Linked DNA regions of Tribolium castaneum. The protein of the gene in region 1 purifies or fractionates together with the protein of each later gene. This does not show direct contact. Links are inferred from orthologs where the notes say so. Each region holds a gene or a part of one and is shown in the gene's direction. Other genes may lie near its edges. The genes, in order: Oseg6 and IFT43.

Region 1 (3,211 bases):
ACACCCATGACTCGCCTCAAATCGGCGTTAACGAACATGACCAAACGATCCAAGAAACCAATTTTAACAAACAGATCGCATTGTATAGGTAACCACCCAGTCGTGTTCTATTTGTTAATAACTTTATATAGATTTTCGGCCGCTTGGACCACTTGCGAGACGCTCAAGTCGGAGGAATTGTGGCGAAAACTCGCAGTTGAAGCGATGAAACACTTGGAAATAGACTTGGCAATTCGGGTATTTAAACTCCTGGACGACGTCTCCATGGTGTGGTCTTTGGAGAGCATCGCCGGCGTCGAAGACCATAAATTATTATGCGGTTACGTTGCGATGTTTTTGAACGATTTCGATTTGGCTCAAGACTGGTTCATGGGTTCGAGTTATCCAGTGGCTGCGCTAGAAATGAGACGGGATCTCCTCCAGTGGGACCAAGCGTTGCAACTGGCGAAAAAAATGGCCCCGGAACAGATCGCGCTGATTTCACGCGAATACGCCCAACAGCTCGAATTCACGTAATTTTTTTTCTCTTGTCTTTTATTGAAATAACGACGTGTTTAGAGGGAACTACTCCGAAGCGCATATTCATTACGAAAAGGGGCTTCAGGAGGATTTAAGCCCCGAACATACGTTTATTTGCAAGGCCGGAATCGCGAGAACCGCCCTACATTGTAATAACACGCGACACGGCATCAGCATAGCGTTAGAATTGGACAACAAACAACTGTTGAAAGAGTGTGCCGAGATTCTCGAAAAAAACAAACACTTAAATGAGGCTGCAAACTTGTTTGAAAAGTGTCAGAATTACGATCGGGCCGCTTTGAACTACATCAAGCTGAGAAATTGGCAGAAAATCGGCGAGCTGTTGCCCAAAATCACCTCGAATAAAATACATCTTCAGTACGCTGTTGCGAAAGAAAACGAAGGTAAGTATGAGGAGGCAGTCCGGGCGTATTACACAGCCAAGGACTACGATTCCGTGATACGACTCCAACTGGAACACCTGAACAACCCTGAAATCGCCGTTGAGCTGGTCCAAGAGACCAAGAGTACGGAAGGCGCCAAACTCGTAGCGAAATTTTTCCAAAAATTAAACGACTACACTTCTGCCATCAAATTCCTCGTCATGTCGAAATGTAACGAGGAGGCGTTTGATTTGGCCCGAAAGCACGGCAAAATGCAACTTTACGGCGAGATTTTGCTCAATACCTTGGCACCGGATGAGTTAAGACCGCACGATTTTAACAGCATTGCTACGCATTTTGAGAATGAACGAAACAATTTACTGGCGGGGATTTACTGGTTTCACGCTAAGGAATATGCCAAGGCCATGAAACACCTCCTCAAGGCCGCCAAATCGAATTCGAAGGAAAACGAAGCTATAACTGCAGCAATAGACGTTGTGGCGTCCTCAAAAAACGAGGCACTGTCGTCCCAACTGATCGAATTTCTTCTGGGCGAGTCGGACGGCCTGCCAAAGGACCCGAAATACCTATTCCGTCTGTACATGGCGCGGAAGCAATACAAGGAGGCGTCAAAGTCGGCCCTCATTATCGCAAACGAGGAGCAAATCAATGGTAATTACCGGAACGCCCACGATGTTTTATTCGCAATGTACCAAGAGCTGAAGCAGAACGGAATCAAAGTCCCCAACGAAATGCAAGCCAATCTTATGCTACTGCACAGTTACATCCTGGTGCGGCTGCATGTCAAGAGGGGCGACCACCTGAAAGGGGCCCGAATGCTGATCAGGGTGGCCAACAACATATCGAAGTTTCCGTCCCGTGAGTGCACAAAAGCGGCTAGTTTTGCGACTGTTTCATTTGTCCGTAGATAAAGTTCCTATTTTAACGTCCACGGTTATAGAGTGTCACCGGGCGGGGCTCAAACATGCCGCTTTTAAATACGCGACGATGTTGATGAATCCCGAGTACAGGAAAAATGTCGATGCCAAATACGCGAAGAAAATTGAGGCGGTGGTGCGGAAGCCGCCCAAGTCGGGGAAGGCCGGGGACGGGGGCGGTGACCCCGTGGAGCCCCTGACGCCGTGTCCGTACTGCGAGAATTTGTTGCCCGAGACGGAGACGAATTGTAACGGTTGTAAAAATAATATCCCGTTTTGTGTTGTTACGGTAATTGTGGCATTTTAATTATTATTTATTATTATTTATTGTGGGGTTGTAGGGCCGCCATATTGTTACAACGGACTTGACCGCTTGTCCTGAGTGTGATTTCCCGGCTTTGCGGTCGCAGTTTATTGAGTAAAATAACTGTGAATTAAAATGATGTATTTTTGAATTGTTTTTCAGGATTCTTGATAGTGAAGATTCCTGTCCCATGTGTTCGGAGAAGGTTGATTCTCGCCGGTTACCCAAAATTGACGATCCTAAGCCGTATTTGAACGTTGAATAACTTTTTTGATCTCGTGATTGGAGTATTATTTATTTATTTATTTTAGTACAATTAGATTTTAGCAAGAAGTGATTTTAGCGAATGAAACTATCCGTCCATTTTTTAGTGCAATAGACTATTGTTGAATTGTGAAATAAAAAATGAAAGAAAATTGTGTTTTTTTCACATGCTTCAAAGTTTCCACCACCTCTAAAAAAACACTACACGGACAAACGATTGCGTTTGTTAAGTACCAGTAGTTCAATGCTTCCAGCGTTTTATCGATCCATAAAAATTTACACACGATATTTTTTCTCTTAAAATATAATTTCATAATGAAATTTGGACGCAGAATCGTCTGTAGTACTCATTTTTTTGAAATCGCCTCTAAAGCGACTGATATGGTCCACAATCTGCACACGTGTAATATTGGTTGCATAACATCTTATAAGAAATCAACAATTCAAAGTTTTTTTTTCCGGTCATCCCTAGTAGGATCACAAATACCTAATTATTTGCTAGAAAATAGTAGTCTTCAGCATTTAGTTATATTATCATTGATCAAAAATATTTTTTTATTAAAAAAAATATTAATACGTACTAATACTATACCAACAAGTCGTCTTTTTTATTCAGTTACAAGAATGGAATAATAAATGTGTATTTCCGTTTAATGCCATTTTTAAAAATTATTATTCTTTTTAAATAACTTCGCACGATAGGTTGTATTTTTTCAGAATAAAACTTTTATGTCCAACTCTTGTTTGCCCTCTTGAAATCCAATAACTACTTAACAATAGCAAAAAAATCTGTAGCAACAAAT
Region 2 (3,932 bases), on another chromosome or scaffold:
CTCTAGATGTGGCTTGCAGAGTGTGGGATATTTTTTTAAGGGATGGATTCGAATTTATATTCAGAACTGCGTTAGGTGAGTTGAGTTTTTAAATTTATCCACACAAATAATTAATTTTATTTAATAAACTGAGTCTCGTTTCGCCTCCTGCTTGTTTCAGGTATTCTTCATTTAAATCAAGATATTCTAATAACTATGGATTTTTTGCACGGAGCACAGTTCCTTACGCGTTTACCTGACGATTTGTCGTCAGATCAGTTATTCAGAAGCATACAAGCGGTTACGACAAGTATAGGAAAGCAAAACTTTTGCCAAATTGTTGATAAATATAGCCTTTCTGTCAGGTAATAAAATTCCAATTGTTTTTATAAGAGATATTTATTTAGGTGTTGGTTTTGTGAAAGAAACTCAATTAAGTAATACTTGAACTAGATGAAAGGAAAACAGATTTGTATGTTAGTTTTTAGCTTGAAATGCAGTTTTGCAGTATAATTATATCATATTTATTTCCGTCCAGTTACATAATTACAGAATCTCGTTGAAGGTGCTTATGCATTTTCTGACTGTTTCAGGTGAATATACTTTTTAACAAACGATAAATTACGCTTGAAAGTATCGTTTACTCTTTATCTTCTCTAACTTGCCATTGTCTTTGTTTGATACTATGTGTAATTACGAAAACAAATTTTTGTCATTTTTAAAGATGGTTTTAAACTTTTTTTTAGATAAACTTATATATGTAATGTTCATATTTAACAGAGTTACATTTTAGTCAAAGGCTGTGTAAAATTATGATAAATCCATTGTTGGCGACATTGTGTTAAGGTTGGTAAAGATTTTAACATTTCTCAATTTGGTGTTGTAGAACGGCCATCCTTAATGTAATTTCCTTGTTGGCTGTCTGAATAATTAAAAAAATTAAAAGTAATTGTGATTTTAAAGTTTTCAATAGGAAGTTTGCAGTAAGTTTTTGTTGTGTGTCTCATCGTAGCAATAATTATATGGTTCATCTGTACAATATAAAAAATTTAATGCAAACTCCTGAATTTATTTTAGCAGTGGTAAAGTCGTACAGAGGATATACCGTTTTTACACCTTTTTCTGATAATTAACTTTAACTAATTTTTATGAACCATTATATCTAGACTCCAGTAAGGATCTAGGATGTAAAAACGGTCATTCTTTGGTACGGCTTATACGAGTATGTATGTATATAAAAACGCTGAAACAACTTGTATCTATGAAAATGCTTCATTTTATTTTTTGTAATTTTAAGATAATATGCATAATTTATTAAATAATTTATCGATAGCAAGTGACTAAAATAATATGACATTTGTAAAATGACATTTGTTCTTTTAGGGATCTTGTAGATATTCGCTTCTTTTAAAGTTACAGGCATGATTATGATTTATGAACTGTTTGTATTGTTAACATTTAAGTAAGATTATTTTTTTTATTCGTATACAATGGAAATTAAGATATTGAATTGATATGTACATTTTATAAAAAATAAAACAGGAAATGTACCTGACTGTACCTTATTTATTTGGACTAAAAAAGCAGTCGCCCAATAAAAGTTTTAACATTGAGACATTTTAGTTTTTAATGTTGGTGTCATTGGTTATCATGGTGGCTGTTTAATGTTTATTCTAACCCAACTTGTAAATTAATTGATTTTTGTTGAATACAAACAAATCTAGCATGAATTGGGACGAAGACATAGACTTACTTCCAAATAAGAAAGTAAGTTTTATGTTTTTGAAAACTGATTATTTAACTATAGGTTAGTCTGCTACTAAACACGGACGGCGGGCAAGCAATGCTCCTGCAAGTCCAGAAGATCAGCCACAAAGTTCAACCAAAAAAACGCCACCAGAAGTGCCTATAAGAACTAGGAAAACTGGGGGATGGGCTGATGAGGGCGTAAAATCTGCAAAGTAAGTTTTATTGAAATCGCAAGTGAGAAGTGCTCACAAACTTTTAGGGTGAAAGGATCAAATATAATTGAGCAGTAAGTGTGCACTTTGAAGTAATATTTTGGTAAAATTATTATTAAATAACGTTAGAGAACGCTTTCAAAATGAAAAACCACAAGATTCTGAGGATGATATTCCAGTAATACCTGACATTGATGATATTGCCGATGATCCACTTAATTTGCCTGATGTAAAGGTCCCTAAGTGAGTAAAACAGTAGGAAAATGTTAATTATTTAATTTGATTATTCTCGTGTAGCATAACTGTGAAAGAATCAACTTATAAAGAACTGGATAGTCAGTTTGAAACAGGCCAACCAAATTTTGGAAATATTGGAGATGTAGACTTGTCTATTTTAACAAGCAGACTTTATCCAGAGAAAGATGTTCAAAGATGTACGGAAGTGTGGACTATGGAGTCATTGTATCAAGACCTTACGAAACAATGACTTCATCGTAACTTTTTTTACATTTTTTTTCCACAAGGATGTATTTATGCACACATTTTGCAGGTCAGAGCACTTTTAAATTAATTTTATTCATTATATATTTTACAATAAGTGCCTAAATATAAATGTACGTTGTTAAAAAAAGCCTTAGTCAGTATTTCTGTGACAAATATTAGAAAACTGACTCCGAGACCAGTCGCCAGAAACCAGAAAACATGTTTGAGGTGATGGAATTTTAAAACGTTTTCATTATCAGACGAAAAACTATCATAATTATATTTTGGAACGTCCTTAACCACCTTGTATTGCTGTTCTCGTAACAACCACTCGCTGATTTTGTCCAAATAAGGGGAATGTTTCTTAAAAATATACGTACTATGACTCGGCACTAAAACTTCTCTCATTACATAAAAGACAGTTCGCTTATGTTCATTTCTCATCATAAGTTCGATACTTTTTGCCGAACTCCACGACAAGCCATAAGCTCCAGACGTGTTCAAATCATTGTAGATCATCTCGGTCCTTTTTTTCCTATTATCGAGATAAATAAAACGTTTGCGAAGACTGTCCTCTTCGGAAATTCGGTTAGCCAAAGGATGCGAAATGTAAATTTGTATTTGGCTTTGCTCTAATTCCTCAACCGAATTTATTTGATTACTCGGATTTGCTGTCATGAAATTAGTAATCAGGAAACACTGAAATGCCGTTCTGAAGATAATTGAGCCAAAAATAAAAACACAAATTTGTATTTTTGCACTGCAACGTTTCTTATTCAGGTTGGGAAAGGGGTAACCCAAAAGACTCGAATAAATGTATAACACTGTCACAAGAAGCAATTTTCGGAAATTACTTTCGCCCAATAGTGACGTAATTGAAACTGTTACAATTACCACTAAAAAAAGTATCATGGGAATCACCTCGAACAGGATAACAGTGGCAGAACTAGACGTTTCGTTAAACGGCAACAAAATTGCCAAACCATTGATTTCATGGGGGTACGTAAATTCTGCGTTTTCGTACGCATGAGGGCCTCTGAAATGACTAACGAAGCAAAAATCTGTCAGCCCGTTTAAAATATCGTTGTAACACCCTTGGTAGTGCGTATTTTCAGGTGGTTCGATAATTTGGAACGTTGAGTTTAGCTTTTCTGTGACCATTTCCAAAACATTGTAGTCTCTCCCTATCCACTTGTTGTCCGATTTGTTTACAAGAGGGAAGTTTATGAAAAAACCGACTCTGAGGTTGTAACCATGCAAATTTTGCAATTTGTTCGGAAAATATCCGGGAGTGTGGGTCAGATTCAAAATTCTATCAATAAATGGATTGTACGTAAAAATTTGCAACGTCTCTTGCACAAAAACAACAACGAAATTAAGTATGTGGTTTTTCCATACAGTTTTCACAAAGTTTTGTAAAAACGCAACCGAATCAATTCGTTTACAAATTATGAGGTGTGTCTCGCCTCTCACATTCCAAAGTGTGTAGTTCTGTATCCGTTGTATATC

What was found.
Region 2: the proteins of Oseg6 (region 1) and IFT43 purify together in Homo sapiens (affinity purification with mass spectrometry; 3 studies listed by BioGRID and IntAct, counting the BioPlex papers as one, with this or other methods). This does not show direct contact. The link is inferred for Tribolium castaneum from reciprocal best matches to the Homo sapiens genes WDR19 and IFT43.

The regions. Positions count from the first base shown.
Region 1 is NC_087402.1:3,490,260-3,493,470, reverse strand, and holds the end of Oseg6 (WD repeat-containing protein 19), read left to right. Parts: coding exon 1-88; intron 89-131; coding exon 132-512; intron 513-558; coding exon 559-1,781; intron 1,782-1,830; coding exon 1,831-2,129; intron 2,130-2,181; coding exon 2,182-2,258; intron 2,259-2,306; coding exon 2,307-2,409; 3' UTR 2,410-2,560; downstream 2,561-3,211. UniProt on the Homo sapiens protein: As component of the IFT complex A (IFT-A), a complex required for retrograde ciliary transport and entry into cilia of G protein-coupled receptors (GPCRs), it is involved in cilia function and/or assembly.
Region 2 is NC_087394.1:35,543,484-35,547,415, forward strand, and holds the start of IFT43 (intraflagellar transport protein 43 homolog), read left to right. Parts: upstream 1-1,600; 5' UTR 1,601-1,704; coding exon 1,705-1,746; intron 1,747-1,791; coding exon 1,792-1,940; intron 1,941-1,987; coding exon 1,988-2,014; intron 2,015-2,069; coding exon 2,070-2,183; intron 2,184-2,237; coding exon 2,238-2,427; 3' UTR 2,428-2,490; intron 2,491-3,932. Other genes in the region: TBC1 domain family member 12, read left to right, coding at 1-75, 161-348. UniProt on the Homo sapiens protein: As a component of IFT complex A (IFT-A), a complex required for retrograde ciliary transport and entry into cilia of G protein-coupled receptors (GPCRs), it is involved in ciliogenesis.